Linked DNA regions of Arabidopsis thaliana. The protein of the gene in region 1 interacts with the protein of each later gene in a pairwise test. Each region holds a gene or a part of one and is shown in the gene's direction. Other genes may lie near its edges.

What was found.
Region 2: the proteins of AHBP-1B (region 1) and AT2G30540 interact in a two-hybrid assay, tested with the Arabidopsis thaliana proteins (2 studies listed by BioGRID).
Region 3: the proteins of AHBP-1B (region 1) and GRX480 interact in binary tests that used the Arabidopsis thaliana proteins (3 or more experiments, as listed by UniProt).

Annotation. Positions count from the first base shown.
Region 1 is NC_003076.8:2,149,167-2,155,102, forward strand, and holds AHBP-1B (bZIP transcription factor family protein), read left to right. Parts: upstream 1-1,673; 5' UTR 1,674-1,965; exon of another isoform or gene 1,966-1,969; intron 1,970-2,142; exon of another isoform or gene 2,143-2,631; intron 2,632-2,894; 5' UTR 2,895-2,956; exon of another isoform or gene 2,957-2,960; intron 2,961-3,048; 5' UTR 3,049-3,156; coding exon 3,157-3,222; intron 3,223-3,321; coding exon 3,322-3,393; intron 3,394-3,481; coding exon 3,482-3,541; intron 3,542-3,662; coding exon 3,663-3,740; intron 3,741-3,817; coding exon 3,818-3,869; intron 3,870-4,156; coding exon 4,157-4,428; intron 4,429-4,521; coding exon 4,522-4,767; intron 4,768-4,861; coding exon 4,862-5,008; 3' UTR 5,009-5,420; downstream 5,421-5,936. Other genes in the region: AT5G06940 (Leucine-rich repeat receptor-like protein kinase family protein), read right to left, coding at 1-1,605.
Region 2 is NC_003071.7:13,010,576-13,014,027, reverse strand, and holds AT2G30540 (Thioredoxin superfamily protein), read left to right. Parts: upstream 1-1,984; 5' UTR 1,985-2,460; coding exon 2,461-2,769; 3' UTR 2,770-2,923; downstream 2,924-3,452. Other genes in the region: AT2G30530 (zinc finger CCCH domain protein), read right to left, coding at 3,161-3,409. UniProt on the Arabidopsis thaliana protein: May only reduce GSH-thiol disulfides, but not protein disulfides.
Region 3 is NC_003070.9:10,012,905-10,016,276, reverse strand, and holds GRX480 (Thioredoxin superfamily protein), read left to right. Parts: upstream 1-2,020; 5' UTR 2,021-2,229; coding exon 2,230-2,643; 3' UTR 2,644-2,843; downstream 2,844-3,372. UniProt on the Arabidopsis thaliana protein: Has a glutathione-disulfide oxidoreductase activity in the presence of NADPH and glutathione reductase. Reduces low molecular weight disulfides and proteins.

The DNA of each region.
Region 1 (5,936 bases):
ATGGAAGTTAGACCGATCAGAGGAGCAAGAATTGGGTAAACCGGGTCCACAAAGCTCAGGATTTCCTTGCAGAAAGGAAGCTGGTAACCCGGAGACCAGAGAGTGAGGTACCTCACCTGATAATCCATTGAATGACACGTTAAAAAGAGCAAGCTTTAGGTTCTGTAAGCCTTGAGGGATCAAACCAGTAAGACTATTATCAGATAGATCAAGATAGGTCAGAACATGTAAATCAGCAAGTGATGGCGGGATTTCTCCGGTGAATGCATTGCCTGCTAGAGACAAAGAGACAAGCTTCTTGCAGTTTTTCAGTTCTGGGATCTTTCCTAAGAGCCTATTGTGAGAGATGTTTACAATACTAAGGACAGGTGAGTCGCAAAAATTCGGCGGTAACTCTCCACTAAACCGGTTTTGTGAAGCAGAAAACTTATACAAGCTCTTAACCAATCCAAGACCATGTGGGATTTCACCAGAAAAGGAATTGTTGACTATCTCAACTTGCTCCAATGCAGAAGCCAAAGACACAGACTCTGGCACTTGACCTGTGAACCGATTATTATCCGCTCTAATAATCTTAATCCTGGGTAATTTCCACAACACAACTGGAAACTCACCAGAAAATCCATTGTTCTGCACTTGAAGCCTCTCCAGACTAAGGCATTCACCAATGGAGTTAGGCAATGACCCTTCAAAGAAATTCGAGTGGAGAGAAAGGTTAATAAGCCTTTTACCACTGCAAATGCCACTAGGGAAAGAGCCAGATAACTTATTCTGTGAGACATCAAGAGACACTAAGTTCTTGAGAGAAGGGCCTAATGATCGAGGAATCTCACCACTCAGGTTGTTCAAACTCAGATCCAAGGTTCTCAAACTTGTCAAACCAACAAACGAAGTAGGAATCTCTCCATGGAACCCTGACCTATGCAACAGAAGCTGTTCAAGCTTGTCTAGCTTCCCAAGAAAAGAAGGAATCTCACTAACCAAATAGCTGTTTTCAGACAAATCAAGAACAACAAGCTCACTTAGCTTCCCAATAGCAGGAGGGACGATACCAGTGAGCAAATTACTTCCCAAGTTGAGAACTTGGAGATTAAACAATAACCCTAAATCTTCTGGAATCATACCTTCGACATGGTTACTGCTAAAGTCAATAACTTTCAAGGAACTAAACTCAGAAATCTGATCAGGGATTGTGCCCCAGATGAGATTAGAGCTGAGATTAAGAGTCTCTAAAGTAACACAACGAGACAACTGAAGTGGGATAGGCTGATTGAAGAAGTTCAAGGAGAGGTCAAGGTGAGTGAGGTAAGGGAGGTCACAAATGGAGTCAGAGATTTCACCAGAAAGATTCAAACTTTGAAGGTTAATGGAAGAGACGTAAAGAGTAGGAGCTCTAGTACATGTGATACCAGTCCAGTTACAATGGTGCGAAGAAGAAGTGTTAAACCAACCTGAAAGAGAGCCTTTTGGATCATCAAAGGAGGCTTTGAATCTGAGAAGGTTACCAAGTTCCTCGTTCTCTGTGAAAGAGAAGGTCTTGGTGAAGAAGAAGAAGAATGTCAAGGCTAGTGAGATTGAAAACTGGTGCTTGAATCTGGTAGCCATTAATGAGTTAAGAATAGAGAATGAAGAGGATCTGCTGAATGAGTGAAGTAGTGAGAGAGTGAGAGTGAGAGTGAGAGTGAGAGTGAGAGTGAATTGAATTTCAGGTGTTGAAAATACGGGGTGGGTTTTGCAATTATAAGATAGTAGGGTTGGTTAATGGTAAAAATAAAGAGTATAGGGTTTAGTTTGAAATTTCCCGTTAAATTTTGGTCGAGGGTCTATGGGGAACTGGTAGATTTGTAGACAAAACGACGTCTCGGAGATTGGAATTTCGGATCGTGTCTCTCTCTGTTTCTTTGTTTCAATCCGATTTCGAATCAAGCCCTTTACTTGTGCACCTTCAAGATTTCGTTTTTCCAGGTCAGTTTCTTCATCAAGCCAACCTTTTTTTCTAGGGTTTTTCTTCCTTTGTTTTTTTTCTGGGAGTTTTCTCCTTCACAGTCCTAAGAAGCTACTTGTTAACTCTGTCTTTTTGCTTTTGAAGTTAAACCTAGTTGACTTTCTCAAGCTTAAAGAGTTCAGCTTTTTTTTTTTTTTAATTGGTGATTTTGTTCTTAATTTTGAGCTACCAAAATCATCGAATTAAATGTTAATCTCTTGAATTCTGTTTCGGTGGTAGTTTCTTGGTTTGAAATCATAGCTGCAGCTTCATGCCGAATTCTCACTGGTTCTAGATTTAGAGTTTAGCTTTTTTTTTTTACTTTACTCGGATATGAATACTGAGTAAGGAATTGAGTCAACTCGGATGTGAATACTGAATAGTTTTTGTTCTAGCTAGAGTTGCAAAACTAAGAGATTCAGCTACTGAAGCTACTTTAGTGTCATTCAAACTGAATTGAAATGATGTGTGTGAGTGTGACTGTACCTAATTTTTCAAACTCAGGCATTTTCGACTGTGCCAACACCTTAAGTCTCACTGATTTTGACTTTGATCCGCGAGCTAAGCTTAAGGTCTGAATGAGTTTCTCAGACTTTGTAGATTGTGCAAGCTACATGTCTGATTGGGTTTGATGAATTGCTTTAAAGGTTGTGTTTTTGATGGGCTATTTTTGTCAGTCTGTTAGCTACAAACAGATTGTTCTTATATATTTGACTTTGTGACTTATGGTAGTCAGCAGAATTTCCCTTAGGACACTTTGAATAAGTAAAGGACTCTTTAGCATTCTTTAGCTGGCTTGTTTAACTGAAACAAACTAGAGAACCTTTTTCTTGACTTTATAGGACATAATTGAAAACTATGTTAGCAAAAGAGATGGTATGTAATGCTGTTTTTTTTTGTGCTCATTCAGCGCAGCCAATGCTCCGGGTGACCAACATTTGTTCCTGATTCATTTCCTATTGATTCGTATTGGTAGGTGTTGATCTTTCTTTTATATTCTATCACCTAATTTTGTTCTTTCTGTCTTTTTTTCTTTTTCTTAATTTCCTTCCGAATCCTGGCAGTCTGTGCACACAAGAGAAATTTCAAGAAGTTGTTACTAAAAGAGAGGCCACAAGTGGATATTGTCTTTGTTATCAAGTGTTAGTACAGAAAAGTGGTGAGAAAGTAATATGGCTGATACCAGTCCGAGAACTGATGTCTCAACAGATGACGACACAGATCATCCTGATCTTGGGGTTAGCTCATAATCTGGCTAGATTTTATCACTTATATTCTTCAAAATAGTGTGATTTTTTATGGACCAAACAAAAATTCTGGTGTTAATTTTAATGCAGTCGGAGGGAGCACTAGTGAATACTGCTGCTTCTGATTCGAGTGACCGATCGAAGGGAAAGATGGATCAAAAGGTGACATGTCCATCTCTGTAGATAAGATCACTGTTTTTATTCAGCCAATTTATAATCTCTTTTTGTTTCCTTATATTTTGATCCATAGACTCTTCGTAGGCTTGCTCAAAACCGTGAGGCAGCAAGGAAAAGCAGATTGAGGAAGAAGGTATATTACCTTCCATTGGTTTTATCTTTTTTTACTTTTTCTTTTCTTTTTAAATTGGTGCATCGCTAGAAGCATAGCTATTTGGTACTACGTTAATTCCTTTTAATTGCTCCCTCCATAGGCTTATGTTCAGCAGCTAGAGAACAGCCGCTTGAAACTAACCCAGCTTGAGCAGGAGCTGCAAAGAGCAAGACAGCAGGTTCAAATTTGTTTCTTATTTCTATTGATTTTTATTTTGTTATTCTGTATACCTAACGGTAAATTTCTTGTTTCTAGGGCGTCTTCATTTCAGGCACAGGAGACCAGGCCCATTCTACTGGTGGAAATGGTTGGTTGCTTATTCTCCATTAGTTTTAATTATGTTTATTTTTTGGCTTCTAATTTGTGTATAAGTTAAGTTCATATATCAACTTCCTGTTGACTTGGTGTAGACTGATCAATTAGTACATCATATCTCATCCCATTACAATACACTGGGTTATCAGAGTCAGTGGCAGACTGACATGGTTCTGATAGCAAAAACTGTTATTCTAATTAGCACTGGTGTAGATTTAGATTTACAAGATGACGAATCTCATGGGTTTGTTTTGATCATGTATAAATTTTTTAATTCAGGTGCTTTGGCGTTTGATGCTGAACATTCACGGTGGTTGGAAGAAAAGAACAAGCAAATGAACGAGCTGAGGTCTGCTCTGAATGCGCATGCAGGTGATTCTGAGCTTCGAATAATAGTCGATGGTGTGATGGCTCACTATGAGGAGCTTTTCAGGATAAAGAGCAATGCAGCTAAGAATGATGTCTTTCACTTGCTATCTGGCATGTGGAAAACACCAGCTGAGAGATGTTTCTTGTGGCTCGGTGGATTTCGTTCATCCGAACTTCTAAAGGTGAGGTCAAATTTCACTTTGTCTTCACCGATTGCATCTGTTTCTACATAGAACATAAAAAGAATGGTCATAGGGAAAAATGTGTTGAAACAGCTTCTGGCGAATCAGTTGGAGCCAATGACAGAGAGACAGTTGATGGGCATAAATAACCTGCAACAGACATCGCAGCAGGCTGAAGATGCTTTGTCTCAAGGGATGGAGAGCTTACAACAGTCACTAGCTGATACTTTATCGAGCGGGACTCTTGGTTCAAGTTCATCAGGGAATGTCGCAAGCTACATGGGTCAGATGGCCATGGCAATGGGAAAGTTAGGTACACTCGAAGGATTTATCCGCCAGGTACAACACTTGTGATGTTTTGAGATGATATCTTAGTTAAGAGTATATATATATATCAATAGGTTAATAATCGTCTCTTGGTTGGTGGTGGCAGGCTGATAATTTGAGACTACAAACATTGCAACAGATGATAAGAGTATTAACAACGAGACAGTCAGCACGTGCTCTACTTGCAATACACGATTACTTCTCACGGCTACGAGCTCTAAGCTCCTTATGGCTTGCTCGACCCAGAGAGTGAAACTGTATTTTGGTCACATGTCAGCTGTACAAAATCCATATGGACACAAAACCAGGAGAGACTATTAATCAACACTTGTCAGATTCTTCTTACCAAATCCATCAACAAATAAGCAAATTTCTGGGAAACAAAAGACTCTTTGTATGTAGGTTTCTTCTACATGGTTGTGGTAATTCATGTTGTTTTAGTTGTAGTCATCAGTTTTTAATTTAGCATTTGAAAAGTTCAATGTTGTTTATATAGCATCTTCGATTATCTTAGAAAGGTTATTGAATTTTGTTTTTTTTTGTTACTTTTGTGTGTGGTAAAGGTGTTTTAACCTTGCAACTTCTGTACTGTAATCATTTAACAATATTAAGATGTTCTATTTGAGTTTTGTAGTTTCATCGCTTGTGTCTTAAATCTTATTTAGTGAGGATTCTAATGTAAACTTCCAAGAGATGATGAAAATGAATTTACATTCAAAGTAAGTGTGATAGATTTTTTTGTAATAAAAAAAGGGACATGTCATTGTCAAAACCAAGAATTATTTTGTTTTTAGAAAAAAGAGAGTGTTGCAATTTTCAGAGGACTTTTTAACCCTCAGCATCTAGAGGTCCACCATCACTTGAGTTTCGTCTTCCATTCCTGTTTTTTTTCAGAGACCGGCAAAATAAAAAAAAAGAAGATCGTACAACTAAAAATACCTCAAAGAAGGAAGATACAAAAGTAGTAACCTTTGTTGGTGATTGATACTATATCTGTTGTGGGTTTTAGACAAAGACCACGTCTTTGCAGTTGTAGATTGGAATTTTCCGGATCTTTCTCTAAATCGCTTTTTCTCCGAGCAACTTTTGTTTGGGGTTAAGCTCAAAGAATCCGTTCTTTTCAGGTGAGTCTCTTCTTCAATAGTCTTAGGGGTTTTAGTTCTTCAGTTTTCTTATTCTGC
Region 2 (3,452 bases), on another chromosome or scaffold:
AGATGCTTCTTAATAATTGAATTATAAGATTGTTGAAATATTAAAGACGTTTTTAATGGTCTTTATAAATGACCTAAAACTGCATATGAATAATTGACCCCCGACCATATATTTACAACAAAACGACAGCTCAATCTCGTCACATTATGTAATGAGAATGAGGTGTCCTTCTCTCGTCACTAGCTTACTTACTTTATGTTTCATCATTAAATATTTGGACATGTGATTTAATGAATTAATTAGTTATAAAATATAATAGAGAAAAAAATAGCGTTGGAGAACATTCAAGTCAACTTGTATTTGTTTGGTGGTTTCATCTGAAAATCCAAAATAACTCAATTTGTATTTCATTTATTTAATTGTGATATCTTACTAATTTTTGCAATCTGGTACAGATCAGAATGAATGGATCCATACTGTTTAAAATATATATATATAGATGTTTTTAGTAAGAATGATTGAATGTTATATATATAGAATCGAGTTCACGCTTTTGTGGAGATTTTCTATGGTGACATCCTAACTCACACGTATTTTATATTCTTTTCTGATTCGAAGAAGTTTTCTATGCCATTAAATATAGTTCCAAAATCAACCCATTTGCTTTTGTTAGAAATAATTTTTGCGTTATGACTTATTAAACATATATGAGATTTCTATAAGTCATTGGTATGTCACTTAGCTAGGAGGTTGCACGTTCAATTTTCTTCTCAGTTTGGTCATAGTCGTCGAGACAATGCATACCCGGCCCATTTCTTTAGACCATATCCGAAAATGAACCCTCTAAATATTCAAATTCTTGTATATTCTTAAAGCTAAACAACTCACTTCTGAAAACTGCTTAAAAGATTATTAGCTTTTGAAACATAAATATATAAATTTATCGGAGAGAAAGAGTAACTATGAATCTATGATCATGCATGGCTTATAAGGGAGTTTGTAGTAGCCATTATCGCCAGCCTGCCATTATCTTTTATGGCCACTTCTTCAAGGTTTCATCGTGTGAGTGACCATATAACCTCACTTAGCTACTAACCCTTTTTCAATCATTAATTATAATCCCTAGAAAGCTTTTTACCAAACCAAAACAAATATTTCTATATAGGGCAAGTCTCCGATCTTACGGGAAGCACTTTTTGGTGGTAATGGAAGAGGGGGTTAACATAGATATTCAGATGGTCATATATATAATTAATATAAGAATCAAGAAGATCAATTCCAAATATATGCTGAGTTTGTAACTATGTTAAGTTTCATGGATTTCTAACTCTAATCCTTATCTTTCGAGGTGATGATTGTCTTGGTCCAACTCAAATTGTTCTCATTCTATGAAGGACAACATATCTTACTTGGACCAAATAAGTTCCTTAATCTTTAAACAAAATCAATTGGCGTTAGTAAATTAATTCATGTCCTATACATATTACTCTAGGTCTAAGCTTACTTCAACTGACATGGGATCTCATAATCACTGGTTTACTTTAGTCAAGTGGTAAATGGGAAAGAATCTTGGCAAATTGTTGAAAGGGAAGTGGCACACAAGAGAAAGTAAGAAACCGATAGGAGTTATTATTCCTTCATGATCAGAAGTGAGATTGAGAGAATCTCACAAAGACAATCATATCTTGTTGTATAGTGACATGTTTCAAGAATAGGGTTTTTAATTGTTGACACACACACGATCCAATCCATCAAACCCAGCCTGATCTCTTTTTCGTGGCTGCGAAAAATACCGTCAATCAAGAGAAGAATAAGCATATCTCTCTGCTTATTCCCCACCACTTTGGGCTATCTCACACCCACACCCTTCATCTGAGCATGATTCTTGAACAAAATAATATTCTTCGAGAGAAAAAGTAAAAGCTTGGTCCACATAAATTGTAAGATTCTAATCCGATCATGCATAAAAAAGTTGCAAATACATATATAAAACATGTGCGGATGTACCATATTCTTTAGCATCTGCAACAAAGAAACATATTGTCCTGTTCAACTCAAAATGCTCACTTTGGTATCTAGGAGGAAAAAAGGGTAGGTGAATTGTGATTATGCAACTTTTGTTGGTCCTTCCTTACTAATATAATATGAATTAAAGAGGAAAACAAAATATTAACAAAGTCACTTTAATGTACTTGGGGAACCTTTAGCTAGATCTCCTGTGATCTCTCTTTTTTTGGTCTCTAACATTCTTTTCTTCTTTCTTTCTTTGCTTATAAATAGCATATGGTTCAAGAAACTCAAGTCTCAGGCAACACTGAGCTTAATACTGTAGTACACACACACACACACACACACACACACACAAAACCCTCTTTTCTTCAAACAGGAACCCCAAAAGCGAGGTTTAATCTCAGGCGTTTTCAGTTCTAAATCTCTTTCAATCCACAAGAGAAGGAAGATTTTGTTTCTTCTTCTCCAAGAAACAATCCCTAGATTGATCGAGACCTCCTTCAAGAAACCATGGACAAAGTTGTGAGAATGTCGTCAGAGAAAGGAGTGGTTATTTTCAGCAAGAGCTCGTGTTGCATGTCCTATGCGGTCCAAGTACTTTTCCAAGACCTTGGGGTTCACCCAACAGTCCATGAGATCGATAAAGACCCTGAATGTCGTGAGATCGAGAAAGCCCTAATGAGGTTAGGGTGTTCCACGCCGGTCCCAGCCATCTTTGTGGGTGGGAAGCTCATTGGTTCGACCAATGAAGTCATGTCGCTTCACTTAAGCGGCTCGCTGGTTCCGCTAGTTAAGCCGTTTCAAGCCAATCTATGTTAAAAAGGTGTTCTAATTTTCTATACTACAAAAATGTATTTCAATAAGAAACACAAATCTTATAGCCTATGCAACCTTTGTAATGTAGCTTTATATATATATTGTTTGTTCTGTAATTTCAGGTAATATCCAATAATAATTGACTAATTTCTACTCACCAGTTCAACTTTTAGCTTTCATGGTACTGTTTCAGGGAAATAATAGAACATTCTTCTTTTATTTAAGTTAATTAAGGGTAATAAATAACATTCACTGCTAATTCTTAAGACCCCACCCCAAATAAAGAGTACAGAGTATATATATTTCTACAAATACAGAGCAATTACAGGCAACGATTTGTCTTCTTGTCTGATTCACAACAAGAACAGCAGAAACTGATAGTTGTTGTGGTGTTTCATTTGAGCTCCAAGAAACTTGGATTTGGATTGTAAGAGTTATCTGATGAAGAAGACATTGAAGACACATTAATGGGATATACCTCCGTTACTTCTTCAGTCTTCTCATCAAAGTAGACCACATCTTGCATTGTTAGCTGGTGATATTCGACGACTCCTCTCAGATAGAGGTTTTCGCGGGTGTATATCGAGTTTTCATGAGCCAACCGTGCTTTCTCAGCTAACAGTGTTTCCAGTTGAAGTCGCACCTATAGATGAGAGAAAACACACAACCAAAGATCAGAAATGTAC
Region 3 (3,372 bases), on another chromosome or scaffold:
TGCAAAATTAGAGTTCCTAAGTCACAATGATCAAACTCGACAAAACTATTAGATCCAGAGAAATTCCGATTAAATCCTGGCTAATCTAGGGTTAGAATTTTATTCAATAGAACCGGAACGGCTTTATCAATCTATGTGCTTTAAGATCGACACAAACATTGGAGAAAAAGCTTGCGTTTAGAGACGATAACGACAAGGATCAATGCGAAAGGAGAATTGATGTAAGAGGAAAATTGAAGAAGCTTCCTTACCTGTGAAGGAATTAATCGAAAGGTGACGCGACGGAGAACAAACGACGGTGAAGTAAAAGAGATTCCGGCGTGAGATTCGTCTCTCTTACATAGCAAAACGCATCACCTGCGGTTGGCTTTGAGATTCGCTGAAAGTTTATTTTTGGGCTACTGGAGAATCTTATAAAGCCCAATAAGAGACCACAGAGCCCAATAAGTTATTACAAATCTACGACAGTATTAATAAAGACCATTTTCTACGTTACAAAATTTTGATTATTAACTGTTATAGAAAATGGTTATATTGAAACGCATATTTGGCATTTGTTATAGAAGAAAGAAACCACTCTTGCTGAGTTTTTGTTGGTTAAAGCGTGACCTAAGTCTGTCTATTGAGAAGATTCATAGTCCATGAAAAATCCGATGCTACTATAAATGATTGTTTACTAATCCTAGAAACCAAAAACAAATAATTGTTTTCTCAATTCAAAAATTGTATGGTAAAATTTTAGGGTTTACACATTTAAGATTTTAAGTGTTATAGATTTCCGGTGCACAGAAGAATGGTATATATTGTGAGTTTGTGATTAGTTTTGTTATGCAAACTTCTCACGTTAGGCAACTGTAAATATAATATCTCCAACAAAGCGGTCATGCAATTTGTTTTGTTGAAAATTTGTATATTTTACTAGCGGTCATGAATTTTTAAATCCCCCACACTCTATTTTTTAAAATATTTTTAACGTTTTGGGACCATGATGGATGTTGAACTTTCATTTCAGGATTTGGTGGAACGATAAAATTGGAAAGGCTTTGGAGTTTGGAACCTGAAGAACTTATAAAGTTAAAGGATGACACGTGACTTTAATAAAGAAATGCAATTCCCATAATCATATAATAGTCCAAATTTAGGAAGAAATGGGTGACATGAGTTTTAAAGAAGAAAGACGTCATGATTCCATTAAAACAAACCAAATTAGTTGGTGGCTTGGTGCTGACGTCTACCGACTTTTCCACCGTCCATCCTTCGACGATGGTTCTTTCTAAATGACCTTCTCAGTTTTTTCCTGTCATGCGTATTATTATTATTAGTTAATAAGGCTCCACTACTACTCGGAAAGTCCGAGTACAAATAATATGACAATAATGTCAAACTTATTCTTAGTATTGGTTTAAAAGAAGGATTCAACAAGAGTACTTAATCACGTCTCATAATTACCACTTTCATCCAAACATGGTCATTACTATATGACATGATCGTGTTACATTAATTTGGAAAGTAGTATATGTCTTTTTCCTAAAAGTTTATGTTTAGATTTTTGATCACTAAGAATATAATGTCATATATATTATTAACCTTTACACCTAAATGTTATATTAATTACTTGAATGATAAAACGGAAAATATCGAAAGTTTAGGCTAGGTCTCTCTAGCATCTCTAGTGTATTTATTTAGCAATCCCAAAACAAAATTGTGTTTTCTACAATTTTAGTATTAGATTACCAAAATTGTTGTATATAGTCTGGTGATTCCGTTTTGATGGTCGAGATCGAAAGAAGCAAGCATCCACTATGTGGTCGTCACATGCGAATATTTCTAAGTATACAACCATCTATCGAAAGTTTCGAAACAACCCAAATATAATAGTAATAAATTCTGAGAATTCTCCTATTTTTTATTGATATGAAAAAAGCAGTAAAATATTATGTAAAGTAGAGAGGAACCAAAATTAAAACGTGCAGATTTATTAAAAGAATAAAGTGGGATCCAAAAAGTCAGCGTGAAACATGTGATACGATATAACGACACGGTCCTATGACTAAGTCCACTCCAATCCAGTGACGTAAACAGCACCATCACCCATAGCTTCCTGTGACGCACATCCTTACGTAACCATCGTTGACGCTAGACTTTCCTCTCTGATCTCTCTTTCTTCATGTATATATAACAAAACCTTCCTTTCCTAATTGGTATCTATCTTTAAAAACATACTTGAAAATGCAAGGAACGATTTCTTGTGCAAGAAATTATAACATGACGACAACCGTCGGGGAATCTCTGCGGCCGCTATCGCTTAAAACGCAGGGAAACGGCGAGAGAGTTCGGATGGTGGTGGAGGAGAACGCGGTGATTGTGATTGGACGGAGAGGATGTTGCATGTGTCATGTGGTGAGGAGGCTGCTTCTTGGACTTGGAGTGAATCCGGCGGTCCTTGAGATTGATGAGGAGAGGGAAGATGAAGTTTTGAGTGAGTTGGAGAATATTGGAGTTCAAGGCGGCGGAGGTACGGTGAAGTTACCGGCGGTTTATGTAGGAGGGAGGTTGTTTGGAGGGTTAGATAGGGTTATGGCTACTCATATCTCCGGTGAGTTAGTTCCAATTCTTAAGGAAGTTGGGGCTCTGTGGTTGTGATTGTAAATTAATAATTTAAAATTATTTTTTTTTCTTTTAATTAAGAATCTTGATTGGTAATTGTTGTTTACGGTTTATAATTGAATCGTTTCATATATATGTATATAAAGAAATAAATAAAAGAAAAGTCTCAAGTTGAAATTTGCTAGAGATTGTACCCAATAATTTTATAGCATTCATTGTGCTCTGTTTTGATAGTACTCGTTTTTTTTTGTCATCAGATTTTATATAGATTCATTTTTTTTTTTATGGTATTCATGTTTTGATGGTACTCATTGTATCATTCGTTTTAGGCATCTACTCTTCTAAGTGAGATAGAAATTAATGGATCTGTTTGTTTAAAAGATTTATCAACCTTTTGTGAAACGGAAAGAATTTATTACTGTGTTAGACTGTTAGGTGATAGTGATTTAAATGTGACCTTAATGCTCTTGTTTGGGGTACGTGGTAGTTTATCAGATTTGAATATTCACAAATGCCAAAATATGAGAGATCCTTTAGATTGAGGTGAAAAATGTGGGAGGGATGGAAGATATCACTCCAATTGGTATGTTTCCACTATGATGCACAAAGTGGAGACGGCGCGGCAAAAAGTGGAGACCAATGAAACGTTAACCTTTAGAGCTGGAAGCATTTTACTGCTGGCCCGAGCCATAAACGGCAAAGAGCATAGAACCCTCAATTACAGACACCACCCAAGTCACATGCAAGCGGTTCTTCGAACTTAAC